7 linked regions of the Mus musculus genome follow. The protein of the gene in region 2 interacts with the protein of the main gene of each other region in a biochemical or structural test. Links are inferred from orthologs where the notes say so. Each region holds a gene or a part of one and is shown on either strand. Other genes may lie near its edges. The genes, in order: Nacc1, Hdac4, Nr2c1, Camk2d, Zbtb16, Ywhaq and Pparg.

Region 1 (4,217 bases), on a different chromosome or scaffold from region 2:
CAAGGGAGTTTCACTAGTTTAATTCAGGGCAAAAAGCGGAGGCACTCTGCACCTTTAGATGTCTTCTGTGTGCACCTTGTAGGTTAACTCAGGCTCTAGAATAGTATTCACTGTCTTTGAATCTCAGTCCCACCACGTACTCTGGGCAAGTTAATTAAAATGTAAGGCTCCTATTTCCCTTACCTGTTAAATAGGAATCTTAGCTGTCAAGGGCAAAGATTAAATAACCGAATGCCTGGGAAGTGTGCAAAGGAGCCACTCAGACTGAGTGTTGGCCTAATGTATGCATCAGGAAAATATGGAGATCCGGGATGTGAGAGTTATCTTAGCTTGCCTTGCTATATGTTATCTGTTAATTGGGGGTAGAGGGCACTCTTAATCCAGGTTGTCCTGGAGTTATATAGCCCAGGGCAGATTAGAGTTTCCTGCCTCAGTCTCTCATATGGTGAGATTTCAGGCATTTCTACCAGGCCCAACGGTACTTATTTTGTTTCAAAATTTTATTTTTTTGTTATTTTTGTGTATGTGTGCAGTTGTGTGTAAGTCCTCAAAGAGCAAAAAGGTGATAGTTTCTAGAACTGTAGCCATCTGACATGACTGCTGGGAACTGAACTCTATTCAACAAGAGCAGTACACACTCTTAATTTTTTTGAGACAGGGTTTCTCTGTGTAGCCCTGGCTGTCCTGGAACTCACTCTGTAGACCAGGCTGGCCTCGAACTCAGAAATCCTGCCTCTGCCTTCCAAGTGCTGGGATTAAAGGTGTGTGCCACCATTGCCCGGCCAGTAGACACTCTTAATCCAGTCCGCACTCTTCTGTTCTTGACTCTGCTACCCATCCAAAAAGTAGTCAGGCCTCTCTAACATTAGTTATAAGACGTATAATTATCTGAGTTAGTGCAAAATGCTAACAGAACTTCACATCGCATAAGCATCCTGAGTTTTCACTTTATTAACCTCTTGAACCTAAGTTTAAATCTTCGTATTCACTTTCCTGTGATCTTGATAGTTTACTCAGCTCAGCTCCATGAAACCTCATTTCCACAAAGAGCCTAAACTGTTCCTGGAACAACAGTTGTTCTCATTTTACAAGAAACTGAAGCTCCAAGATACAGAGCAACCTGTCCCGCAGTCACTCAACTTAGCCCGTCTACAGAACCGAGACCCGGGAGGAAAGAGGAGCTGGTGAGAACCGAAGCGCTCGAAGCGCGGCTAAGCTTGCCTAAGGGGCGGGGCCGAGGCAGTTTTCCTCCCTGCCGGCAGCGCCGTGCGCTTCCTCGGCGCTCGGCTGGGGCGGCCTGGCCCACAATGAATGGCCGCCGCGGCTACCACTGCTGCTGAGGCGGAGGCCGCGGAGGCCGCAGAGGCGGAGGCCGAGGCCGAGGCGCAGGGAGGCGCGCCCCGGGCCCAGGCCCGGCCCCAGCTGCCGCTGCGGAGCCCGCCGGGAGGCCCCGGAGCGCGGCCACAGCGCAGGTGAGATGGCCCGCCCCAGGCCCAATTCCGGCCTCCTCCCGCCCGGGGCGGCCCGAGGACATCAGAGGTTCCGGCGGAGGGCCGAGAGGCGAGGCCTCCGGGCGCCCTGCTGCGAACCAGAAGCCGAGCCCGCGGCGCTGACAGCGGCGGGAGGGCAAGAGTGAGATGGCCGAATCTCAGCTGGCGGCCTACAGCGTCCAGCCCGCGGGCCCGGCCCGCAGGGCTTGAAGGCCGCTCGGGGGAGGCGCGGGTCGCGGGATCCTTGAAGTCTCAGGGCCGGAGGGGGTAATCGCGTGGAGCCGGCAGGCGAGGCTGGAGGGGGGAGGGGAGGCCTCGGGCTGGCGGGGGGTGGGAGGGCGGAGGGCTGCGCCGCCCGAGGGAAAAGGCCTGGAGGGGTGCGGGAGGGCCGGAGCTTGCAGGTAGAGGGCGCTGGGGAAGGGGGTGGGCGGGTCAGGTTACAGGCCTTGGGGGGAGGTGAGGAAAAGCCCGGGAAGTTAGACTTGGGGGGGGGTGGGCGGAGCTTGCTCGAGTGGGGGCGGATTGGAGAGAGCCCTAAGATATTTGCAGGGGGTCGCACGAGGTCAGAGACTAGAGATGTGCGGGTAAACTCCGACGGGAGGGCATCAGGTAAGGCTGGGCGTGTTGGGAGTTTGCAGGCGGCCCAGGGCCTATGGTTTAGGATGTGGGGAGCAGGTTAGGAAAACCTGGTGTGAGCTAAGGGATCTGCCCCCCCCACACACACACATCTCCGTATGTTTGCTTAGGGTCAGAACCGGGGGGGGGGGGTTCCTCTTTCCCACGCCTCTTCTCTGACACCTTGGCCAACTGCTAACAAGGACAGGCCAGCGGCTGGATGGGAGTTAGCGTGGGCTGCACCGGATACCTAGTTCAAACATCTTGTTTTCGGTGTGTATGGCCCCTACTCAACCCACCGCCCTACCCCACCCACTATGGAGGCAGCCCAGCAGACATTACCTGATTATTCTAGAGTCCTGAAATCGTTCTCAGCCTTCTGGCGCCGGAACCTGGGGGCTCCAGTCTAGAAGATGAGCCCTCACAGCGTTGCAATACGCCCTAGCTTTCCAGGCCCAACCTGCTGCCTGGGCCTGAATTCTGTCTCCTCCTGGGAGATAAAATATTCTGTCGCCTCCTGGGATGGTGACTGCCTGAAGCTCTGTTGTGTCTTTGAGACAAAACAGGTACCTACACATCCTGACTTGTGCCTGGGGGAGGGAGAAGGAGGGCTCCTGGTCCCAGGGCCTTCCCTCCCTCCTTGGTGCCCCTTCTAGGGCAGGTTGTATGCTAAGCGTGGAACCAGCTAGTTCATTGATTACTCGCCACCGCTGGGTCTTTGGCTTTCTCTTTTCAGAGAAAGAAGCTGGGGTTCGGGGCGGGGCTTGTCCCTGGTCATATGACTAGACTGTGGCCTATGCCTATTAAGTCAAGTTCGCCCTCCTTGGGTATCAGCAGAGAAATTCCTGCTGTTCCAATTCCCTGTTGGAGTCTTCTTGGACCTGGCCTTTCCTGGGCTCTCTAGACCGGCTCAGTCAATCCCCTTGCAGTAGTTCCAAGGAACTGTGTGTGGGCTTCTTCATCCTGCTCATACCTTCTCTCCCATCCCGCATCTGGGAGTCAGGGGCACGGGGCTCATGAAAGTGCTGGTTCTGCTGCAGGAAGTGGTTGTAGAAGAGGGTGGTAGTGGTTTGGGAGTGAGATTTTGCTTTGCCTGGACTTTGTGCGCCTTACTTTGGTTTCTTAGCACACTGCTCCAACTCTAGACTAATTGCAAGGTTAACAGTGTGTTCCTTGTTTTGGAAGGGTAAAGTTTTTGTTTTAGTGTTGTTTTTTTGGTTGATGTTACTCTAGCTCAGGCTGACCTTGAACTTATTATAGCCTAACTAGTCTTAAACTATAGCCCTCTTGCCCATCAGCCCAGTGCGGGGATTGTATAGGAATGAGGACCACACACTGTCTTGGTGACTTTGACTGGACATCCTCAGCACCAGAGTCAGCTACAAACTTCTGGGTTGCTGGTATCAGGCAGTACTGGGTTTATTGATGATTTTCTTGAGTCTCCATTTTCCCTCTTATCCTTGGAGTTTCCAGAACTCCACCATCTTCTGGGCCATGCCCTCCAGCCTGGTCTCTTGATGGGGGAGGGGAGCTGAGGACTGGTCCAGCAGCCTGTGTTACAGAACTTGGTGCTTTCAGATTGTTTTCTCTGCTGCTGCAGCTCTCCAGGAAAACCCCCCTCTTGCCTCTCAGTTGTCTCTGTTAGTTGGGCTGATATCACCTCAGCATCTTTAGAATTACCTTTATTCTCACCACTGGCTGCTGCTGCTGCAACTTTGCTTTAGCTGTTGATGCACAGAGACCGATGTGGACCAAGGGGAACTGCTGGGGCATAGACTGGCTGGCTGTTCCTAGGCCTTAATGAGTCAGGTATCCAGGACAGATGGTGTCAACTAGTTACAGCTGGAATGCAAAACTGGTGGGAGTTGGCCCTGCAGTATGAAGGCAGAAATGGCCAGGTGGCCCCTCCACATGCAACTAGAACAGAAGGTGCACTGGTCATATCTGCTCTTCAGTGAGGACCTTAGGCAAGCCCAGCCTCCGCTAAAGTGGTCAGTTTGCTTTCAGTGTTTTGTGCCCACTCCCTTGCTGAAAACTGAAGAAGCAGTTCTGAGTAACAGTCAGCAGGCTCTCTGAAATGTCTGTTCAGATGGTGACCTAACTTAAAGAAAT
Region 2 (3,691 bases):
CAGTTTGTTTTGCACCAGGCAACCACACATCAGCACCTCATGCTGTAAGTGCCCTTGCAGCCCTGGGTATGCTGCTTGTATTGGAATGTCTGTAGTAGACTCTGACGGTCACAATGTCTTCTGTCTACAGACGAGCTTGGCACACAGACTTGTGACTCGAGAAGGCTCAGTCGCCCCACTTCCTCTCTACACGTCACCATCCTTACCCAACATCACCTTGGGACTTCCTGCCACTGGCCCTGCCGCTGTAAGTTGGCCTCTGTGGGTCTGTGTGGCATGGGGTGGTTGTCTACTCCAGTTCCCACAGCCTGAGTTTACTGGTTCTGCCTTTCAGGGTGCGGCAGGTCAGCAGGATGCTGAGAGGCTTGCTCTCCCAGCTCTCCAGCAGCGGATCTTGTTCCCTGGGACCCACCTCACCCCGTACCTGAGCACCTCGCCCCTGGAGAGGGACGGTGCAGCAGCTCACAACCCCCTCCTGCAGCACATGGTCCTGCTGGAGCAGCCACCCACCCAGACACCCCTTGTCACAGGTAAGAACCACAAGGAGATCTCTGTGGCGTTAGCAGTTTCCTTGGCCTCCTGTAGCTTTTAAAGAAGGCTGGAAAGAACAACTGAGCCCATACAACAGTAGAAACTCTATGGTTCTCTGTAATGTGATAGCTACCTTAACTGTGGCAAAAAACTGTGTCCTGCTTAGAAAAATGACCAAGGAGTACCAGTCAGTGCCAGTGGCCCTCTGTTTAGCCTCCTGCTCTCCCACTGATTGGTTTCCCTACAGCTCGAGGAAGCAAGTGCATGAAGTGCAGAAGTGACCGTTGATTTCTCAGCTTGAGGATGATTGCATTTAGAAAAATACAAGTTTGAGACAAAGTAAACTCGTGACATTTACCCAGTTACCACACTTTGGAGGGACTGTTTCAGAAATGATGGCATGTGGAATGTTTCTCATGAGACACACAACCCTCCCTATTGGTGACTTGGCCCAGTTCTCTACATCATCCTTAGGTCAGTGGGTGACTTCTTCACACCTGTTGCTTCACTCAGAATCACAGCCAGAGCAATCCTAGAACTGGCGTTGTCCATGTTCCAGTGTTCCCCTGGGCCAGCCTCTGGTTGGTGTGTTAGAGTTCCCACCTACTGGGGTGAGTTGGTCTGTAGGGCTTGGTATTGGTTTCCTGTCTTGTGCTTTTTGTCCCTAGTATGCCCTTGGCTCTCCCAAGTCAGTGATCTGGACAGGAACAGCACTTGGTCTGCTGGGACACCCTCCTCCAGCTCTGAGAGCAGTGTCTCAGTGACCATGGACCGCTCCCTACACTCAGGCCCCTTCCTGTCTGTTCTCTTGGAAGCCAGGGACCATGGGCTTCATCTTCCCATCTATGAGTGAGATGCTAGCACAGAGTGACAAAGTGAAAAGACTCAGTTCCCGTAGGCAGCGTCTGACACCCAGCAGCCCAGTCGGTGCTGATCTCCAGGTTGAGGTTTTTCCTTTGGGGTTAGCTGGGTTTTGGTTTTGGTTTGTCTCTTTATTGTATTTATTTGAACCTCTGTTGCTGTTTTGATATTAAATCTTGCTGGCCTCAAACTCGGACTCTCCTGCCTCAGTCTTCTAAGTGCTGGGATGTCAGGGCTGTGTTTGTGACTCTCCCCCAGCACTCTATCCAGTCTTCCCAGCACCCCTTCTGATGCAGCTCTCGCTGGGAAAGGAGCCTCCTGAACAGGATTTCCTCTGCTCAGCCACAGTGGTCCAGAGAGGCCCACGTTCCCCATTGTCTAGAGTAATACTGTGTGTAGAGCCCAGACCTGTGAACATTCAAGCCAAAGTAGTAGGGTAGCATCCCACTACTTAACGTGGCATGGCTGTCATCTCAGCACGATCTAAACACAACACCACTGACAAATGGGTCAGCTCTTAGCAGAGACCCCAGCCTTGCACCACAGCCCTCTTCCCGGGCAGACTGACCAAGGGAAGTGTGTGAAGCACACATTCTTCTCTGAGTCCTTCCACTTCTCTGAACTCTGTCTGTCTGTCCTGCAGCCACTGCTGCCCTGCACCATCTGCATGCTGTGCTGTCACTGCCCCGGCCTGCTCTCTCTGAAGCCCGGCTGTCATGCCTCTAGGGAAGATCTGATTCCTTCCCTGTGCAGCCCTTCTTTCCTCTCCCAGTGCCACTCTGTATTTGATACAAAATCTCCTGTGGTAGAATCCACTGAAGGTCAAGGTCTTGACAGTGCCTGGGTGTCAGTTTGCCCCTGAGTTTCGGCATGTCAGCCGCAAACTGTTCTTCTTTCTGGTATTTGGGGATGTGCATGAGCTAGAAGAGCCATCCTCTGGAAACGTCTATTGGATGTGTGGCAAGCTGATGCTAGGCTGTTGCCATACTTTCTGGAGTGCTCCTTGGTGAGCTCCTGGAGAAACTGCATCAATGGGATCTCCAGGTAACTTTACTTTCTCTGCCCTGCTAAAGCCCAAGCTCCAGGCTTACAGCCTCTAGCTGGAATCGAGCCTGTTTGCAGACATGTGTCATAGGTGCCTGGGCTGGCAGGCATGTTATTTTCTCCACTGGTTACTCAACAGCATCTCTCCCCTCTCTTCTTCCTTTTCCCCTCTGCTGTTTTTTTTTTCCTCCATATTATCTTCAGACTGGTATCTTTCAGGCCTGGGGGCGCTGCCCCTCCACTCACAGTCCCTGGTTGGTGCGGACAGGGTGTCCCCATCCATTCACAAGCTGCGGCAGCACCGCCCTCTGGGGCGCACGCAGTCAGCACCCCTGCCGCAGAACGCACAGGCCCTGCAGCACCTGGTGATCCAGCAGCAGCACCAGCAGTTCCTGGAGAAGCACAAGCAACAGTTCCAGCAGCAGCAGCTGCACCTCAGCAAGGTGGGTGTGTCCTGTTGCTTTCTAGAGCTAGTCACCTGCAGCCAGACGGGGTGCTCCTTGCTGTCCTCCCTCAGCCCCTGCTGACCATGAGTGGCCAAAATGGGGAAGGGAGAAAACAGAGCACACACTCTGGTGCACGGTGGGGAGCCTAGGGAGGTATGCTGTTGTGTGGAGCCTTCCTCACAGCCCATCTGCACCTGTAAGCAGTGGGCCGCATCCTTGCAAGAGGCCTCTGCATCCTTGTGTGGGAATCCACATAGGCAGTTCTTTTAGGGACTTTCTTAAGTCATTTGCCAAGTAGATCTTTAAGCAAACTCTCACCAAAGGCCTACAACTTTACAGTGGCATCAAGTCCCTGAAACATATTTTTCAAGTCACCTGGCACCTGTAACTGTTTAAATGTGGGAGTTATACCATCAAAAGCAGCTTGGAAGCAGGCCAGCCTGGAGAGGTCTGTGTACTGTCAGATTGTCAGAGTCTCTCAGCCCCATCTACAGGAAAAGTTAGTACTGTGCTGCTGGCGAGCAGGGACAGAGAGTTTAGTGTGTCCCCTTCAGGTTTGTAAGTCAGATACCTTCCATATCAGCTCAGTGACAGTTCTGCAAACAGCCCAACAGCTTTTCTCCAAGAGAAATGGAAATGTCTCACAGAAACCTGTCCACAATCCTCTTCTGTACTGCTCATAGCAGCCAAACTGTGGATGGAGCATCTCCAGGGTTTATCCTGTGGTGACAGGTGACAGAACACACCTACCGTTGTCTTGGGGTCATGCAGCATATAGAGGCTCCAAAACCTGGCTGTCAGGGAAGTAA
Region 3 (3,691 bases), on a different chromosome or scaffold from region 2:
GGGGGTAGAATGCTTGCCTAACAAGTCTAAGGTGCTGGATTTGGTCCTCAGCAGGAGGAAAAGAAAAGACAACAAAAAACCCAACCAACCAACCAAACAAACAAACAAACAAACAAAAACCCGCACACTGTTACACAATGTATGGCAAAACTATAATTGTAAGTTTTCTCAGAATAAAAAATGTTAACGTGAATAATAGAATTTTTGATAATGATTTTATTGTCTTTCCTAAGTTCTCTAAGGTTTTTTTTTTTTAACTTAATGACTAACTTTATTCAGTGCTTCATAAATCACCAGCACAGGATGTAAAATTTTATGTTTTCATTTTTATGTGCTCTAACATTTTTAATGTTACATTATAAAATTTAAAACTCTGTATCATTATTAAACTTACCACTGGGTATGGTTGTTTTGATTTTCTACTTAAATAAACCCTAAAAAAAAATTGTCAGAATCTCAAAATCACAATTTCGTTTTATATATTGCTGTTTTAACAGAAAAGATGAATTTATTTTGCTTCTGACCTATAGTATGCTTTTAAACATTTCATCTCTAGGGCGTCATTACGGAGCAATAACTTGTGAAGGCTGCAAAGGATTCTTTAAAAGAAGCATCCGGAAAAACCTAGTCTATTCCTGTCGAGGATCCAAAGACTGCGTTATCAATAAGCACCACCGAAACCGCTGCCAGTACTGCAGGCTGCAGAGGTGCATTGCCTTCGGGATGAAGCAAGACTGTACGTGCTTGACGTAAAGGGGGCGTGGTTCTTGTACGTACTTGACTTAAAGAGGGCGTGGTTCTAACACTCCAGCGAATGGAAAGTGCATACGACTTAGCATGTTTAAGCAGCTCAAGATTACATGGTGCAGTAGTTACTTTTCTGTCCCTGTGATAAAACGTCATGACAAAAAGAACTAAAGGAAGAAAAACGTTATCTGGGCTTATGGTTCCAGAGGGCAGGGAGGCACAGTGAGCTAGCAGGACCATGAGGCAAGCTGATGACATTTTAGCCCCAAAGAGAAAGTAGAGTGAGTTCACTCACAAGGACAGGCTTTCTCCAGCAAAGCTCTTCTTGTTCAAACCATGGTATGGGCCTTTTAATCCATAGCTGTCCAACTAACAATAGAATGACTATATATATATATATGTTAAGTAATATATATGTATATATATATTACTTAACAAACAAATATTTTTGATAACACAATAACCTGTGACAAACACATCAGTTGACACTTAGCACTCAAATGATTTTCGTAAGCTATCTTGGAATTTTAAAAACATAATGTGCATAATAGAATTCTTAGTGATTTTGTTGCCTTTCCTAAATTTTCAGTAGCATTGTTAGTGTTACATTGTAAAACTTAGAACTCTGATCATTAAAGTGCTAGACAGCAGTGTGCTTTGTGACAGATGCCCAAAACGTGGACTTGGTAGCATCAGCCAATACTGATCTGTCCACGGGCTAATGTGTCCTCACAATCTCAGCACAGTTCTCTGCGCCTGGTTACACTACACTGTTACCACCTTAACAGAGAAAGGTTGGAAACTCAGCAAAGCAGACAACTAAGAGGTGCCTGAAATTTTCTGATGGTTTGCTCTCCCCTCTGCCCCCAAAGAAAATAGGTTTAGGAAACGTTTTGCCTCCTCTTTAGATATTACAAGATTTTTACAGATATCACATATTGTATAGATGAACTTATGTGTAAGACAGATTTATTTTCTAACTAGAAAGGCACTACTTAGGCCTTTTCTATCAGTATTATCTTCAGTTGGTCAAGTTTCTTTTTCTTTAGTTCTCTATATACAAGGGGCATGTCACTTTAGTTCTTCCTTCTTGATAGTGAGGGTTTTTTTGTTTGGTTGTTTTTTTTGTTTGGTTGGTTGGTTGGTTTTTTTATTTTTTTTTTTTTTTGGTTTTTCGAGACAGGGTTTCTCTGTGTAGCTCTGGGTTTTAAGAGTTCTATTTTTCTTCCATTGGAGTGCCGCAGTAGAGAGAGGTGGGAATAACAGGTAAATTGACCAGTTTTACTAATAGGGATTTAAATATGCTTGGCCCAGGGAGTGGCACTGTTTGGAAGTGTGGCCTTGTTGAATATGTGTGTGCCCTTGTTGGAGTAGGTGTGTCACTGTGGATATGGGCTTTAAGCCCCTTGTCCTGGCTCCCTGGAAGCCAGCATTCTGCTAGCTGCCTTCAGAACAAGAGGTGGAACTCTCAGCTCCTCCTGTACCAAGTTTGCCTAGACACTGCCATTCTCCCACCTTGATGATAATTGACTAAACCTCTGACCCAGTAAGCCAGCCCCAATTAAATGTTGTCCTTTATAAGCGTTGCCTTGGTCGTGGTGTCTGTTCGCAGCAGTCAGAATGCTAATACAGGGAGCAATGTTGTTGAACATGCATAGATTTTGTGAAGATTGATGGCTGCCTTTGGAATTCAGCTAGAAACCGTGACTCTCTCATTAGCCATGTTGGAAACAAGCAGCTTAAATTTACAGATTTCCATGGAGTCTGTATTGTAGTGTAATTATTTAACATGTTTTTGTAGCTGTTCAGTGTGAAAGAAAACCCATTGAAGTTTCCCGAGAAAAATCTTCCAACTGTGCAGCTTCAACAGAAAAAATCTACATCCGCAAAGACCTCCGAAGCCCTCTAGCCGCAACGCCAACCTTTGTAACAGACAGCGAGACTGCCAGGTGCCCTGCAGCTATTAGTGCATCATTTGCTTCTCTTCCCAGATCTACTGAGACTAAAACCTGTGCCTCATTTGTTGCAGGTCAGCTGGACTGTTGGATTCAGGAATGTTTGTGAATATTCATCCGTCTGGAATAAAAACAGAGCCAGCTATGCTAATGGCACCAGATAAGGTATGTAGCCTAACTAAAGACCCTCTTCCACCTCTCCCCCCTCCCCGCCCCCATCCTGCGTGAGTCTGAGCCCTTAGTCCCATCCCATGCTCTGTCTACTGCAGAGCAATAATTTCTGTTTCCTGTTTTCAAAAGATTGTTATTTATGTATGTACTTTATGTGTGAGTGTTCTGTTTGCATGTATGCCTGCATGCCAGAGAAGAGCATCAGATCCCACTACAGATGGCTGTGAGCTGCCATGTGGTTGCTGGGAATTGAACTGAGCACCTTTGGAAGAGCAGTCAAGGCTCTTCACTGCTGAGCCATCTCTCCAGCCTCTAATTCATGTTTCTAAAGCTTAACTTATTTGATAAAATTCTTCACTATGCTATTAAAAATGTTATCTCTAACATGAAAGCAAAGGACATTTAAAACTGTTCCCAGTTTCTTTCATTTTAAAATAAATGTTATCTGAAAATTAACTTGGGGTAGATCCAAACCAAACAGAATGGAATACTGCCTGTAATCCCAGCAACTCGAAAGGTGATGACTACAAGGGTAGCCAGCCTGGGCTACACTCTGATTTGAGGATCATCTGTGCCCTATTGTGAACCCATCTGAAAAGGCAGAAGGATAGCACAGACTTCCTACCTCTATTCCTCTTATTTTTCCCTGCTAGATTTATTTGTGCCAGTACTTAAGATAGCTCCAAGTAAAACTCCTGGAGGCTGGAGAGATGGCTCAGAAGTTATAAGCACTGGCTGCTCTTCCTGAAGTCCTAAGTTCAATTCCCAGCATCCACATGGTGGCTTACAATGATCTATAATGAGATGCCCTCTTCTGG
Region 4 (3,691 bases), on a different chromosome or scaffold from region 2:
AAGTATGTTTATTTCTGTTGCATAAAAATTCATGAATTTTTAGAAAGCATTTTCTGCATCCTGTTAGTTGTAGAAGTGTCATCTAAATGCTTGAAGATGTTTGGCCGGTTGGGGAGAGGGCAGGTGGCCTTAACAGATGATTTAACACTTCATAGCCCTATTCATTCAATGTTTGAAGCGTTGTGCCATATACAGGGGTGTTGTCATAAAGAACCAGGCAGCTGTAGGCACTGTATTTTGTGTTATATCTGTTTAATTTTCTGAGCATACTTCTCAGATGTAGTGGTTTTCTGGGGTTCAGGAAGCTGTGGTAGATCTGATTAGCAACAGACCACCAAGCAGTGGCCACAGTCTTTTTTTGAGTGCAAATTTGGCTTTGGGAAGTGCTCTGGATCGGCCTCTCAGTCCAGGATCCAGCCACTGTCCAGCCAGTTACCATGTGCTATCTACCCTTCTACACAACATGATGGGGAAATGGTTTCGTGTAGGGTAGAATAAGAGATGATGACAACTCAAGATTATTTCTTTCTCTGGCCAGCTCATGGGGCACCCAGTTGCAAAATCATGCCTATCTTGTCAGCATTACTTATAGTTAAGTGTTTTAGAAATTCACACATTAATATCTCAGACATGTTCACATCGAAACCAGTGGATCAAGTTAAAAATAAACATGACCAATTTTATCTTGTTAGTTATTTCTTTGTTGCAGCAGACAGTGGTATGAATTAATCTATTTTTTATATAATTTAACTTACATAATGGCAAATTTTATGAAACAATGCACTGCTTATAGAAATGAGGGATATATTTGGATTTTCTCTATTTTACTCTGTGTGTGTGTGTGTGTGTGTGTGTGTGTGTGTGTGTGTGTGTGTTACTGTGTGTGTGTTTTAACACAGGATCTCATGTATACCAGGTTTCCCTTGCTCTTGCTATATATCTGAAGGTTGTCTAAAAGTCGTGATCCTTCCGCCTCTGCCTCTCTAGTGTTGGGATTAGAGGCATGTAGGAACACGTCTAGCTTAGTGTCTCTATTTTTAAAAACTCTTTACTAATTTCTATCTTTGAAGTTTCCGTCACCAGAATGGGATACAGTGACACCTGAAGCCAAAGACCTCATCAACAAAATGCTGACCATCAACCCTGCCAAACGTATCACAGCCTCTGAGGCCCTGAAACACCCATGGATCTGTGTAAGTCACTTTCGCATGCACCCCAGGAGCCAAACTGAAGGATAAACCCCTAGTCACTTTTCATAAGTTTAAAATAATCTTACAGAAAAAGATGAACCTTAGTATTTAAGAAATAAATTTATAGTCGTGAAAACCACCATTGCCAGTATAGCAAACTAAACTGCCCAATTTTCTAAGTATTGTCTGTAGTAAGATGAATGAGGTGTTCCTATGCCAGTAACTGATAAGACTCAAGAACAGGGACTAAGATAATGACTTGAATACTTACTGCACCCCAGAAGGGAAAATGTTACAAAGTCTAATTCTTTATCATTCAACAGCCTTAGAAACATGTGAGGCTTAGAAGCTAGAAGTAGTTTTAGGGGCTACACGATGGCTGCAGTAGTGTGACTGTCTTGTAGAAGCCCTAAGGAAAAACCAAGGATATTGTAAGAGAGTTTGAAATTTTCTGTAAATTTCTACGGTTAGGATATACTGCTAAGTAAGGGGAAGGTATTCTACTAGGAAATGCTTGCCAAAGTAGTGATCTGAGAGTCTAGTGATCCTCATTTGTGTACCTTCTACTTGTCAGTGTTTAAGCTCAGTCACTAGCAATCTTTATAAAACCATGCTTTTTCGTAGGAGACTTTGGCAATTGAGTACTTGCAAGGTGACTATATGTAAAGATCGGATGAAACTGAGACTCTTTCTCGTTCTTGCTATGTTTTAAATATCAAGTCACCCTTTCTCCTCTTCTTTTAGCAACGCTCTACTGTTGCCTCCATGATGCACAGGCAGGAGACTGTAGACTGCTTGAAGAAATTTAATGCTAGACGGAAACTGAAGGTAAGAAATTTGACATTGTTGTGGGAGGGCTGGAGGGTTGATCTGGTGAGGTGAAAGCTACTGAAAGCAGAAGTCATGGCAAAGCTTTTGATGCTATAGATCTCAGTAGTCAGTCCTGGATCCGAGGGAAACGGAGCATGCTCCATAATCAAGCCCAAGGATGCAAATAGGCTGGCTAGGGCAGTATGTGCTGGGCTTTCTCTCCTAAGAGGAAGCAGCTGTTCAGCTTGATGATCTAAATGTGGCTCAGAAAGTTAGAGCTGCCCAAACATGCTGAGAGCCACAGGCTAGGGCTTCCAGGAAACAAATAAACAAAACAAAGCCAAAGAGCAGACACCGCAAAGTCCCTATCTGAAAATAAAGCCCAGAGATTTGTGAGCCCTTGCTACCTGATTTTAGGTCAGAGGTTTGTTAGGGCCAACTATAATCCATTTCTCTTATTTCTTTGATAGGGCGCCATCTTGACAACTATGCTGGCTACGAGAAATTTTTCAGGTATACATGTTTGAACTCTGTTCCTTGTCCTCTCACCTCTGACCTTCTCTAATGTGTGTGTGTGTTTGTGTATGTGTATGTGTGTGTCTGTGTGTGTCTGTGTCTGTGTGTGTCTGTGTGTGTTCTTAAGAGAATTGAGAAAGTCTAATAACTACAAATGATACACACACACATCACACAACGGAGAAGGGGAGACTTCTTATAGTCCTGTAGCTGTCTGTAGGACTCCACTCATACTGGACACCTAAGTCTCAAATGCTATGGTCACACAATAATGATATGTATGTCTCATTTTTATTGATATTTCATAAATAACCATGAGGATTTTTGTTTGTTTGTTGATTACTATAGGGAACTGCTATAAGAAAGAGTTTAAAATGAGTCATTTTGTAGAACCCTATTTTTATAGGCCTAATTTGCTTTGAACTAATATGTCTTCACATTCATTTAGACTAATTACAAGGACTAAAGCTGCCTAATGAGAAGTTACAGAGAACTGGCCACATGCGCATATGGGGATGTCATCCAATAATAGTATTCCTCAAAATGATTGCATGGGGTGGGGGGTGACAGAAGGAAACACAAAAAAAAAAGAAACTTACATACGAGGTAAATTCAGCCAAGAAGTTTCTTTTCTCTAAAAGTGACTTTCCACAATGGACGTAAAGTGTGTATTACTTCCAGGAAAGGATGCTTAAGTCTTGGAGTCCTCCCTGATAGATTATGTAAAAAGCACTAGGCATTCAAAAGCCAAACGTTGGCAAGTGCTAACCTGACATATATGGAGTGGGCTGAGGCAGCAACTAAGTTTCTGCCTTATTTGATAAACTTATACTTTTGGGGAAGGCCATCAGGTGATGCATGTCCTTAGTCCCAACATTCTGGAGGCAGAGGAAGGTTGAACTCTGTAAGTTCAAGGCTAGCCTGCTCTACATAGAGTTTTAGGCCATTCAAGGTACATGGTGAGACCCTGTTTTAAAAAGGAAGAAAGGGATGGATGAATGAAGGGAGGGAGGGAGAAAGGGAGGAAGAGAGAGAGGGAAGGAGGGAAAGAGGGAGGGGAAGAGGGGAGAGACAGACAGACAGATAGACTTATAGTTTAGATGTTTATTCTTAGAACACTTGTCAAAAATGACATTACTTTTGTTTTGGGGTGGGGTTATGCAGCTCTGACTTGG
Region 5 (3,691 bases), on a different chromosome or scaffold from region 2:
TCTTTTCATCTTGTTGAGGAGGGCTCCACCCTTGTAATAAAAGACTTTGTTAAGCCTGAATCTGGTAATACCATCCCCTTGGGGGTAATGATTTTTAACATACTCAGTTTTGCAGTGGGGAAGGGGACATCTAGACCTTTACAGCACTCCAGCCCTGTGGCCCCGCTTTGCCTGTGGGATGCCTTCCATCTATGCTGTCTGTCCTCTGTGATCTGACCTCCCCAGTTTGCCAGGCTTGTCTCCATCCTCTGTGCTACCTCCTCTGAAATCCGTTTGCAGCTCACTCTTAGCCATTTTCTTTTACCCCTGGCTTCTCAGATGCACCCCGTTTCTCGGAGCTGAACTCAAAATCTCTGAAGCTCCGTTGGAGCCACCCTTTCTTATCTATGCTCTGGATGGTATTTCTTGACCAGGCTTGGTATCCAGCTTCTCTACTCCATCTCAGCCTCTTCTTGGTCACTTGGTAATGGAGTAAGACAGGTAAACGGACACAAAGCAAATTCAGGCCATTCTGTGAGATGCAGGTGGCCCAGGAGAGCAGCTTCTAAGCACTTTGGGAATAGCAAGGGGACAGGATGCCACTCAGTGTGCTCTGCTAGGTGGCATATTTCAGGGTATCCTCCTGGAGTGACATTCATTCACTGTCCAAGTCCATACTGGGGATCTCAGAGTAAGAATTAAAAATGTTGGCTGGTAGAAGCATGCCTGTTCAGGAAACAAGCTCGCTCGGTCTGAGCACCTAGCCTAGTTAGGCTTTCTGTGGGATAGAGTTCAGGGTAAAGCGGGAATAGGTGCTGAAAACCTATGACACTGGACTGTGGTGCTGTGTGCATTAGAACTTGTTTGTGGGTGGAATCTGCTCTTGCTTACCGGGCTGGACTGGACACTGCAGGACTCAGTGTCAGAGCTTGTAGCTGCTTCTGCCCAATGGACTACCTCTTTCGTGGATGTCCTCCTGCATCGGATGGGACTCTCTTACTGGCTCCTTCCTGTGGATCTTGGGTTTGGAAAGTTTAAGTTACCTGTGTCCAATGACCTGCCTCTGACTGTGCTTCCCGGGCCATTTCTAGAGTGATCCCAGCATGCTTTGGTGCTTGCTCCTTACTGTCTAGGGGAAGCCCAGATAGACAGATATGTCCCAAATGAGGTTCAGAAGCTAGGAAGTGACTCAGTTGGGTACACTGACTGATGAGCAAGCATGAGGACTTGCATTTGGATGCCCAGCACTCACATAACAGCCAGGCATGGCTTCCTGTGCCTGTAATTTCCCCCTGCAGGTAACAGGGACAAGCCAATCCCACAGCTCCCTGGCCAACTAGTCTACCCAAAACTACAAGATTCAGTGAAAGGTCCTGTCTTAATAAAATAGATGGAGAGCCATCCTGAGGTTAATAACCTCTGGCCTTCAAACACCCCATCACACACGTACACCCTACAAAGGTACATGGCACACATACTAAAGACTCTAAAATAAGTGGGATTCAGTTGGTGGTTTCTACAATCAAATGGACCAAGGCATTTTCTAGATTCCCAGCTCTACCTCTTTCTCACTGTGTGACCTTAGGCAAGTTATTTAATCTCTATTTTTCTCTTTGGAAGAAGGTGGCAACAATGCCTGCCCATTAGGGATGCGTGTTTTAAATGAGATGACAGCACAGATAAAGCACCTAGTGGAAATGGTGGTCTTTAGTGTCCTCTCCCTTCTGCTCTCAGACCTTTGGAGGACACCAGGGGTTCTTCCTCCGTGCAGCCCTCCCAGCTGTTGGTTGATGAAGCAAGCATGACCACAGGTAGCTAGAATGCAGTGTCTGCAAAGAGAGGAGCCAACGGGTAATTGTGTGGTGGTCCTTGCCACAGCTCCTTGCCCAACATTTTGGATTCCCTATCTCTAACAACATCAGCTACCAACGCAAGCCCATATGCTTTTCTCTCTGCCCATATTTGGGTGGCATGGCCTGTGCTCAGTCCCACAGTGCTGTCTCTTGTGCAAGTGACACCAGTGGAAAAGGGAGGTCCTTGCCTTTTATTCCAGACCAAGCTACATGTGGTCCTGAGGAGGCAAGACCCAGCCCTCCCATTTGCTGTAGCCATTGCTAGTCAGGGAGGCAGCAAAACTCTTCCCGTTCCTTTCTCTCTCACCTGGCCCGAAGAGCTTCCTTATGCCCCACTGAGCAGCCTGAGACTTTCAGTAGCCCAAATGCTCTGGTGCTCCTTCCTCTTTGCACTCAACTGTCAGACCTTGACCTGATCAGCTTTGAGTTGAGTCTCAACTGGAAGGCTGTGTCAGGAAGGTGTTGAGGGATGGAAGATAGCAGCCTGCCTTTGCGGGCTTCAGTAGGCACCTAGGCTACTGGGCCAGCCGAGCAAGTGACCAGGTAGAACTGAATGAATATTTCATGTGACTCACTAGTTGGAAATCCTTTAACAACTTCTTGTTGGTCTGAGGATGAACCCCTGGGCTTTGTAGTATGGCTGGTCAGGACCCACGTGATCTGGCTCCTGGCTCCTGGCTCTTCTTTCTTTGTATGTTCTCCCTGCTTCTAACGTTAGGACTGGTCACTGTGCTCAACCTGGTGTGGCTCTCCCTGAATGCTCACAGACTCGGTTCCAATCTCCATGCACTGGGTGCTGGGTGCTACTGAGATCAGAACAGGGACTAGTATACTCTTCCCCAGCCTTTCATCCCCAGAACCCCAGAGAGAGTCTCCCTTCTAGGAAGTATCACAGTACAATAGAATGAAATGACTCTCACCAATGCCTGAATTTTTTTTTAAGATGGGAGAGTGGTTATAAGAATATAGTCACCAGTGGTGGTGGTGGTGGTAGTGGCTCACACCTTTAATAGCAGCGCTCAGGATGCAGAAGCAGGCAGATCTTTGAGTTTAAGGCCAGCCCTTGTCTACAGATAGAGTTCTAGGACAGCCAGGACTACACAGAGAAATCCTGTCTAGGGGGTTGGGGTGGGGCACTGATCTAGAGCTAACCCAAGGGAATAAATGAATGAATCCTTTTACTGCTCCCAGTTGGGAATCCAATGGCAATTGGGGTGGGTTAATCTCCCCGTGTTTCTTTCTCCTTACATGAGGTTTGTGGTTTTCAGTGAGTTATGTCACAACAGTGGCCAGCTCGTGTGATCCAGGTTATTGTTGGTTCACACAGAATTTCCCGTCTCCCCACTGCTGCCTCAGACTCTGTAAGGTCCCCGAGTTCACTCCCTTAGTCACCTGCATTGCGTTCAAACCTCTTGCAGAGATGCATCTACGTTACCATCCACATGGTTTTGTATCTTTCTCCCCAAACCTTTAGGTCTCGTGGAGGTCGGGCACCCGTTGGAGCTACATTCAGGGTGCTCACGGACTGGACTGTGGGCTTTAGGATCTCTAGGGGGCAGCGCTGGGTCTTCAGGGGTGAAAATCTGGCCTTGGGTCTCTCCGTTGCTGAGGCTCTCCCGTTGCTGTCTCCCACAGGCACGGACATGGCTGTCTTCTGTCTGCTGTGTGGGAAACGCTTTCAGGCACAAAGCGCACTCCAGCAGCACATGGAGGTCCACGCAGGCGTGCGCAGCTATATTTGCAGTGAGTGCAACCGCACCTTCCCCAGCCACACGGCTCTCAAGCGCCACCTTCGCTCACATACAGGTAGGCTGGTCCAGGGGATGGGTGGGGAGCATCTCTGGACCTTATCTCTGGGC
Region 6 (4,463 bases), on a different chromosome or scaffold from region 2:
TTCCAACCAGGCCTCTCCTGGTCAAAGCACAAAGCAACCTTTACAAGTTGGGTAGGGAGGGGCAGCTGGGAGGAGATCTGAATTTCTGGAAGCTTCGTCTCTTCCCCCCCCCCCCCCCATCTGTGCTCAGTGTCAGACCTTCCTTTCTGCAGTCTTCGGTCTGCTTGGTTCCGTTTAGCATTTGAATCCACTTTGCCTGTGGCAGTCACTGAAGTTCTTTGAACCCTTGAGGAACTACTGGAACTGGCATCTCTTCAGAGCCCAGGTGGCAGTTTCATTCTTTGAGTCCGGTAGGACAGCCACCTCACTAGGAATTGGATTGAGGGCTAGGAAATAAGGGAGCCTATTTAAAGGAGAAAAATGTTAGCTGTGACCCTGAATACATGGCATCTGGGGCAAATGCTCTCATTTCAGAAGGGTGTTTATTGTGCAGAGAAAAACATGAGATCTTCACAAATATATCAGGAGAAAAAAAACCCATCACACACAAAAAACAAAAGCATGCATACATGCTTTACAGAGTACAAAGGTGTGTGTGTTCGGGGCAGGGTGTACTTAGACATTAATGTGGAAAAGTAGTAAAGAAATGTTTAAGAAATATGCTTCCGGGGATCGGGTAGTCACAGCTGTGTTTGTTCAAATCGTGCTTAATGTCATTTCCCCGTTTTAAAGAAATGCTTACCTGACGCTGCCACGCAGTCCTGCCCAGATCTCCTGAATCTACCTTTCCATAAGGGAATTGCTGGCTTTCGGGTGCCTGTGTGAAAACTTGAATTAAGCCACTTTCTCTGGGAACGAATCCTTTTTTAATGGGGATCAGGATATTTCTAATTTGTAGCCGAAACAGGAAAATTGTAAGGGTTGCATTTTAATGTCTTGGGGATACAAACCTTTGTCAAGAACAGGAAGGTAGAAGAAAGGAAGGCGCTTGTGCATCAAAAGGGCTAATTATCTCACCCCTGCCAAGTCCAGCTGCAGCCGCAGCAGCTCGAGAGCTGCAACGCCCCATCTGCAGTGGTTGCTGCTACAGGACACGCGGTCGCAGCCTCGGAGGTCGAAAGCACCTCCGGTCCCGTGCCGCACCCAGGAGTGCCGGGCTGGCGGGGAGGATGAGGGGAGTTGGAAAAGCATCGCCATGGCAACAGTGACGTCCATTCACCCTGGATCTAATTGGAGGAAACCCCGTGGCCGAAGCCGCAGCCTGCGGGCCAACCGAACCTACCCGAGCCGACCCACCCTCGGAGCCTCCGCTTCGCTTCCCGCCCCGCCCCCTGGGCCCCCTTCCGCGCGCTCGCCCCTCATTGGACAGAGGAGAAGCTAGAGGCGGGACTCCTTGGGGAGGTGCAGCGTTCTATTGGTCGGTGGCGAGCTCGTCGGCTCCGTGCTAGGCTGAGACGGGAGGGTCCTCGGCTAAAGCCCAAAGCAGATCAAAGTGGTGGGACTCGCGTCGCGGCTGCGGAGACTAGAAGGTGAGTGCGGACACAGCTCTGGGACTGCGGCTGCAACAGCCGCCGCGAGGTACCGAGGCCGGGTTGGCGGAGCACGGTCCTCATATCTGCTAGGCTACCGCGCGCCTGAGGTTCGGGCTGGGACGGGAAGGTGCGGCACCAACGGCCGCTTCCATCTTGGGCCGGGTGGGGCCCGCGCTCCGGCCTTGGGGAGGCGCGGCGGGCGGGCCGGAGGGCGCGGGCGGAAGGCGGCGGCCCCGTGAGAGGCCGGAGGACGCGCCGCCTCGTGCGCTGAGACAAAGCGGGCGTCCGGCTGCATTGTCTGACGCGCTCTCTCCTCGCTCCTTTTTGTCCTCGCCGGCGCCGCCCCGCCCCGCCCCTCGCGGCTCTCAGGAGGACTCCGGATCCGGCTCGGCGCTCGCCCTCGCTCGCCATGGAGAAGACCGAGCTGATCCAGAAGGCCAAGCTGGCCGAGCAGGCCGAGCGCTACGACGACATGGCCACCTGCATGAAAGCCGTGACGGAGCAGGGCGCCGAGCTGTCCAACGAGGAGCGCAACCTGCTGTCGGTGGCCTACAAAAACGTGGTAGGGGGCCGCAGGTCCGCCTGGAGGGTCATCTCGAGCATTGAGCAGAAGACCGACACCTCTGACAAGAAGTTGCAGCTGATCAAGGACTATCGGGAGAAAGTGGAGTCGGAGCTGAGGTCCATCTGCACCACGGTCCTGGTGAGTTGGCGCCGGCATTAGTGAGGGAGTAGGGCGGCGGGAGCGACACCCCTTTTGTGTGGTGTTCCCGATGGGGAGAAACCTGTGGGATAGAGAGTTTGTGATTTGAGCCCCAGGCTTCCTTCTTACCTGTTTCAGAGCTTTCTCGGGGGTGGGTAACTCTTTTTTTCCCAAGCTCTGGGGTACAAAAACTTGGGGGGAGTAGCCGCGTAGGCTTGCACAAGACTGAAAAAGACCTATTTAACCTTGTGCCAGGAGAGTGGTCCTGAGATCTGTAAGTTCTTTCATGTCGTAGAAGGCATGGGGACTTTTACCATAGAGATGCTAGAATTTCCCCAGCCCCCCAAGATTTAGGAGTGAAAAATCTAGACATGTTTTATTTTTCATGTAAGAATATGTTGAGCCTTTCCTTGCTAAAGAGGTGTGGGGGTGGGTGGGTGGATGAGTTCACTGGATGAAAAGGATACAGATAATTTGAAGAATACCATGCCCTGGTCAAATTTCACTATTTAATAGTGTTTGTTTGTTTGTTTTCTATTTGTTGCCTCACTTTAGTCCGGTGTATGGAAATGAAAGCATTTCTGGTGTGGATGGGCAAGGAAGGCTTTCCAGGTTTTGCACTATCCAGTCCCAACCGGGATGTTAACTGCTATGATTCACCCTTATTAGAGGGGGCACTTTTAAATCTTGAGTCATTCATTGCCCAGATCTCTTATTCAATAAAGCAAGTTTCTAAAATTTAAATAGCATGCCATAGAGTGTCAGATATTAATGCTGCAAACTGTGACTCCTGTTCACATTGATAGGTAGTTATAGACTGATGATGAAGTAGCTGCTGGGTTTGCTCTTCACATGCCACCTTTATATGAGGCAGCTGGTAGCTGATAGGCTTGCCCTGGATCTTTTTAGGTGTCTTTTATGCAGGGTTTCATAAGAGAAGGGAAAAAGGGGCTTTCCCTTCTAGCCTTCATTTCTTTATCACATCGAATCAATGGAACCTAGAACATTTTTCCCTGTTGTGTAAAACCTACCTGTTTTACTAAAACAAAAGAGATTATCTGAGCAAAATCATGGCTGATAGATACAGATGTTAGGGGTCAGAAGCAATCAGTTGGTAGTGAAGTGCAGAAAACTCTGTTTTGTAAAGATGCCATTTTGTTCTGTTAACATCTATGTGATCTTAAGTTCCAGTCCCTGTTTAGCTTAGGGGAGGCAGCTCTTTGGCCTGAATTTTTTTACATTCAAGAGATGTCAACTAGGATAGTAATAGCAGACTTTAATACCATATATTGATGGCTATTGTTAACACTTTGGGGTTTATTTACCCATGCAGTTCTGAATCACCAGATTTTTGTGTAAACTATCAGTTTAATTCTGAAACAAAGGAATATTTATTCCGTCTTGCAGCTCTTACACACAACAAAGAATTGTGTTCTGCCTGTATGTATGTATACCACCTATGGGGATGCATTGTCCAGAGACTGGAAGAAGGGGTCAGGGGTTATCTCCTGTAACTGGAGTTGTTAGCTACCATGTGGGTGCTGGGAACTCAACTGGGTTCTGGGGTCCTCTGCAAGAATAGCAAGTGCTGTTAACCACAGAACTATTTCTCCAGCCCAGAAAATTTGGGTTTTATGGAAGCATAGATGTGGGAGTTTTCCTTTTTTTGATACGGTTTGAGAGAGTGACCAGACATTTATTGGAGACCTCTCATGCATATCCTTTTAATAAGAGAACTTTTGAAATTGGGACAGTAGTGCTTTTTTCGTGCACAAGACAGAAATAGAAGAGGTAGGTAGGTTGACTAATTTGTACACTGATGCACAAATTAGCTGAATTTTGCCTTGATGACCAACCTGGAGAAGAACCCCGGGAAAGCATGTCTCCAGTTGGCAGATATTCTGGAGAGCTTGATATGTTTTGAAAGGTTAAACAATACAGGGAAGAACAAAGCTGAGAACCACTGATTTGATTTGATTTGATTTTTTTTGTCCTTGAACAATTTGTAATATAGAGAATTGTGCTAGGTAATTTTTATAAGGTGTTTATGAATAAAATGCAGTTTAGTTAGAAGGAAACAAACCTCAGATAAGACTCTACAGAGATAATAGATTTGAGGGTGAGTATTGAGGGAGCAGTGTTAGAAGTGATTGCCATGGGGAGGATTTGGGATAGAGCTTGAGGGAAGGTGTTTTTTTGTTTTTGGGGGTTTTTTTTGGTGTGACTAGAGGGTGGTCTGTTGGTAGGATTCATAATTTGAGCAGGTCAGAAGGAGAAGCTTGATTGAA
Region 7 (3,691 bases), on a different chromosome or scaffold from region 2:
GATGATTTCATGTTCATGTTATCTGCAATAGAGCATGTTTGGTTGGACTGCTTTCTCTGTTGTCCACACTCAGGAGAATAAAGGAAGTCAAGGGGCTAGGGACTTGACATGCTTGGAACCGTGTACTTTATCCCTAGCAAACTGGGCCAGGGGTGATAGTGCACCCTTGTGAAATCCCAGCACTTGGGAGGTGGAAGCAGGAGGATCAGAAGTTCAAGGTCATCCTCTGCTATATACCAAGGTTAGGTACCAGAGGCCTTGTCTAAAAATGTTAAGTCACTTATTTTTTGTTAATATGCATTATAATACACTATGACACCCCTAGAACACCAGTAGAGGAGGAAGAGGCAGGAGAAGGAAAGCATTTCTTCTAGGTTCTGTAAAATCATCTTCATCCACTCATAGTTCTCTCAAGGTTAGACTCTGACTCTCAGGGATAACACAGTACATTTAAATTGTTATAATTGACTCTGCCTTTTCTTTATCCTCTTCTTACTAATGATGCCAATGGTGAAGACTTAGGGTAAACCAAAGCGAGATGTCCAAGAAACAGTGAACATGATTTGCTCCTAGTTGTCTTCAACAATCAAAGGCAGCAAGCCTCTGAGTCCTCTAGTCTCTCCTCTCTGAGGTGTGATGAGCATTATGGTTGAAGTGAACTGAGGACAGCAGTATTTCTAGAGCAACCCAACCCTTAAGTGTTTGGAAATCTACTCAGTCTAAGAGTCCTCAGTGTGGAACAGACTGAACTTGGTGAAAATCAGGGATGCTTATCTGCAAGAGTCCGTAGTTAAATCTCTAGCCAATACATCTTGAAGCTGGTTACTCTTGCCACTTATAGAACCCACACCCATTTAAATACACACACACAGAGAAAGAGAGAGGAGGAGAGAGACTGAGAGAGAGAGAGAGAGAGAGAGAGAGAGAGAGAGAGCATACACAATAGAAATACAACTAGAATCTCCTCTAGAAAAGAATGGAAACCTTCAATTTTGTCAGCTTCCCAACAATAATAGTGCGGGCTTTTAATCCCTGCACTCAGGAGGCAGAAGCAGGTGGGTCTCTGAGTTTGAGGGCACCCCGGTCTACAGAATGAATTCCAGGACAGCCAGGGCTACACAGAGAAATCCTGTCTCAAAACAAAAACAAAAACAAAACAAACAAGCAAAAACAAAAACAAAAAAACAAAAACAAAAACTTGAGAATTTGGAAGAGTAAATGACTTTCCCTAAGTCATATAGTTAAAGCACTCACCCAGCAGCTGACAAGGCTCACAACCATCTATAACCCTAGTTTCAGGGGATCTGACACACTGACCTATACAAGCACTAGATACACATATGATACACTTATATGCATACAGGTCAACCCCCTTATACATAAGAGAAAATAAATAAATCTTTGGGGAGGGGGAAAGATTGAAAACCAGGACCCAGATAGCCTCAGTTTTTATTCCAGTGCTCAGCTATATAAATTATTTAATAAGATTGAGGTTATCTCTTTCTAGGGTTCAGTACATGTAATAAGTGCAAAATGTTCCTTCTCCTAGTTGATCAACCTTGAGAGTTTCACAATGCTCATAAGCCTTTGGCTAGTTCTTTTTTAAAAGAAAATAGGGAGAAGAGTGTCATGACAAATATGAATTACCTTTCAAAGCAACCTGTTTATAAGCCTGAGTAATTGATCCATTTGTTTTATTTATTAGTTGATCCCTAAGAACACCTATATTAAAATGTAAGTTCAGAGCTGGGACTGCAGCTCAGTGATAGAGCATTTGCTTAACACACAAGAGGCTCTGTGGTTCTGTCTTCAAAACTACAAAAAGTAAAAGCTCAGAGCCATTCTTATTTTACTATTCTTTGCAATGTTTTACCCACAGGCCTGCTACAGCTGCATTTTCTGAAACAGATGGCTTCCAGAGCACAGAAAAAAAAAAAATAGACATTTTCTTGGCTCAATATTTTTAATCTGCTTTGAGTGATTTTTTTTATAGTGAAATAGATTTTATATGTTCACTGTGTTTCCTTTATGGTCTGAGTAAATTTAATCTAATGCTGTAAGCTTAGTTTATGTTCAAGTGGGTCTTTTCAATTATAAGTTGCTTTAATTATTTTTTTGTTTAAAAAAAAGGCTAAATGTATGTTCTCTTGAAATTCAAGAAAGACAACAGACTTTTTGTCAATTTAGTCAGTCTCAGGGTAACATAGTAGTAGTATAAGTTGAAGGAAGAAAGAGCCGAGTTGAAGCTGGGCAGTGGTGGTGCATGCCTTTAATTCCAGCACTTGGAAGGCAGAGGCAGGCAGATTTCTGAGTTCAAAGCTAGCCTGATCTACAGAGTGAGTTCCAGGATAGCCAGGGCTACACAGAGAAACCCTGTCTCAAAAAAAAAAAAAAAAAAAAAAAAACCAAAGAAAAAAAGAGCCAAGTTGATAAAATGTTTGCACACAGCAGATCAATGATAAATAGGAAGAGCCTCTCTCCTGTTTAAGTGCCTTCATCTTTCACAGTTTTCCTCAGCAAGGAAATACATATATAAAATAGTCTTCAGGACTAGGGTGATGCTCTCTCAGAACAAGGAACTCAGCCACTTTCCCTTTTTCATTTGCAGCCATTTGTCATCTACGACATGAATTCCTTAATGATGGGAGAAGATAAAATCAAGTTCAAACATATCACCCCCCTGCAGGAGCAGAGCAAAGAGGTGGCCATCCGAATTTTTCAAGGGTGCCAGTTTCGATCCGTAGAAGCCGTGCAAGAGATCACAGAGTATGCCAAAAATATCCCTGGTTTCATTAACCTTGATTTGAATGACCAAGTGACTCTGCTCAAGTATGGTGTCCATGAGATCATCTACACGATGCTGGCCTCCCTGATGAATAAAGATGGAGTCCTCATCTCAGAGGGCCAAGGATTCATGACCAGGGAGTTCCTCAAAAGCCTGCGGAAGCCCTTTGGTGACTTTATGGAGCCTAAGTTTGAGTTTGCTGTGAAGTTCAATGCACTGGAATTAGATGACAGTGACTTGGCTATATTTATAGCTGTCATTATTCTCAGTGGAGGTAAGATTCATCTTTTGATTTTTGTCAAAGAAGATGGGATTGTGGTGGAATTGTTGGTGGGATTGTGTCTCGGTGCTCTGTGCTCCTTTTTACTGACTGTGCGTGTTGTGTAGAACATGCCAATGGCACAGTGCCGTGAGCATGTCACTCCCCAGGCTGAGAACCATAGGCTTGCAGAGTGAAGGTGGTGGGGATCCCAGGTTCCTCGAGTTTGTTCATCACACTGCTCTTCTCCAGCCAAATCCAATCATGAAAGACAAATGCCCTCTACTTCTTTCATGTTCTTTTTCCTTGTCTTGCCCCCTTTCTTCCCAAAAGGCCAATCTGGTCTTCGGTTCATTTTAGTAATGATGTGTGTAACTTAACTTTGATGATGCTTCTGTGGTATATAGCAGGCAGCACTGTGAGATCTTGGCCCAGTTAACACTTGCACCCCACCTTCCCTGCATCAGGAATCAGGGAATGTGCATTTGCTAAACTCCACCTTCTCTCTCATGTGGTTCTCCCTTTTATGCCTTTGTAAGGCACTTGGCTGTGATTACGAATACAGTGTGAGCCCAAGAGCGTACCACAAAGAAAGAAATTGAACTACTTGGCAGTTTGTTGAAATTTGGGCCTTACAAATATCTGAT

What was found.
Region 1: the proteins of Hdac4 (region 2) and Nacc1 form a complex in vitro, tested with the Homo sapiens proteins (2 studies listed by BioGRID). The link is inferred for Mus musculus from reciprocal best matches to the Homo sapiens genes HDAC4 and NACC1.
Region 3: the proteins of Hdac4 (region 2) and Nr2c1 form a complex in vitro, tested with the Homo sapiens proteins (2 studies listed by BioGRID). The link is inferred for Mus musculus from reciprocal best matches to the Homo sapiens genes HDAC4 and NR2C1.
Region 4: of the proteins of Hdac4 (region 2) and Camk2d, one has a biochemical effect on the other in vitro, tested with the Homo sapiens proteins (2 studies listed by BioGRID, with this or other methods). The link is inferred for Mus musculus from reciprocal best matches to the Homo sapiens genes HDAC4 and CAMK2D.
Region 5: the proteins of Hdac4 (region 2) and Zbtb16 form a complex in vitro, tested with the Homo sapiens proteins (2 studies listed by BioGRID). The link is inferred for Mus musculus from reciprocal best matches to the Homo sapiens genes HDAC4 and ZBTB16.
Region 6: the proteins of Hdac4 (region 2) and Ywhaq are reported together in a solved structure, tested with the Homo sapiens proteins (2 studies listed by BioGRID, with this or other methods). The link is inferred for Mus musculus from reciprocal best matches to the Homo sapiens genes HDAC4 and YWHAQ.
Region 7: the proteins of Hdac4 (region 2) and Pparg form a complex in vitro, tested with the Homo sapiens proteins (2 studies listed by BioGRID). The link is inferred for Mus musculus from reciprocal best matches to the Homo sapiens genes HDAC4 and PPARG.

What each region holds. Positions count from the first base shown.
Region 1 is NC_000074.6:84,684,930-84,689,146, reverse strand, and holds the start of Nacc1 (nucleus accumbens-associated protein 1), read left to right. Parts: upstream 1-1,284; 5' UTR 1,285-1,472; intron 1,473-1,541; exon of another isoform or gene 1,542-1,778; intron 1,779-1,998; exon of another isoform or gene 1,999-2,099; intron 2,100-2,447; exon of another isoform or gene 2,448-2,823; intron 2,824-4,217. UniProt on the Homo sapiens protein: Functions as a transcriptional repressor. Seems to function as a transcriptional corepressor in neuronal cells through recruitment of HDAC3 and HDAC4. Contributes to tumor progression, and tumor cell proliferation and survival.
Region 2 is NC_000067.6:91,981,217-91,984,907, reverse strand, and holds part of Hdac4 (histone deacetylase 4), read left to right. Parts: intron 1-130; coding exon 131-247; intron 248-334; coding exon 335-530; intron 531-2,640; coding exon of another isoform or gene 2,641-2,655; coding exon 2,656-2,879; intron 2,880-3,691. UniProt on the Homo sapiens protein: Responsible for the deacetylation of lysine residues on the N-terminal part of the core histones (H2A, H2B, H3 and H4).
Region 3 is NC_000076.6:94,164,862-94,168,552, forward strand, and holds part of Nr2c1 (nuclear receptor subfamily 2 group C member 1), read left to right. Parts: intron 1-556; coding exon 557-736; intron 737-2,548; coding exon 2,549-2,696; intron 2,697-2,776; coding exon 2,777-2,867; intron 2,868-3,691. UniProt on the Homo sapiens protein: Orphan nuclear receptor. Binds the IR7 element in the promoter of its own gene in an autoregulatory negative feedback mechanism. Primarily repressor of a broad range of genes.
Region 4 is NC_000069.6:126,795,768-126,799,458, forward strand, and holds part of Camk2d (calcium/calmodulin-dependent protein kinase type II subunit delta), read left to right. Parts: intron 1-1,070; coding exon 1,071-1,193; intron 1,194-1,934; coding exon 1,935-2,018; intron 2,019-2,470; coding exon 2,471-2,513; intron 2,514-3,691. UniProt on the Homo sapiens protein: Calcium/calmodulin-dependent protein kinase involved in the regulation of Ca(2+) homeostatis and excitation-contraction coupling (ECC) in heart by targeting ion channels, transporters and accessory proteins involved in Ca(2+) influx into the myocyte, Ca(2+) release from the sarcoplasmic reticulum (SR), SR Ca(2+) uptake and Na(+) and K(+) channel transport.
Region 5 is NC_000075.6:48,665,102-48,668,792, reverse strand, and holds part of Zbtb16 (zinc finger and BTB domain-containing protein 16), read left to right. Parts: intron 1-3,467; coding exon 3,468-3,638; intron 3,639-3,691. UniProt on the Homo sapiens protein: Acts as a transcriptional repressor. Transcriptional repression may be mediated through recruitment of histone deacetylases to target promoters. May play a role in myeloid maturation and in the development and/or maintenance of other differentiated tissues.
Region 6 is NC_000078.6:21,414,510-21,418,972, reverse strand, and holds the start of Ywhaq (14-3-3 protein theta), read left to right. Parts: upstream 1-1,536; 5' UTR 1,537-1,881; coding exon 1,882-2,175; intron 2,176-4,463. UniProt on the Homo sapiens protein: Adapter protein implicated in the regulation of a large spectrum of both general and specialized signaling pathways. Binds to a large number of partners, usually by recognition of a phosphoserine or phosphothreonine motif.
Region 7 is NC_000072.6:115,470,253-115,473,943, forward strand, and holds part of Pparg (peroxisome proliferator-activated receptor gamma), read left to right. Parts: intron 1-2,608; coding exon 2,609-3,059; intron 3,060-3,691. UniProt on the Homo sapiens protein: Nuclear receptor that binds peroxisome proliferators such as hypolipidemic drugs and fatty acids.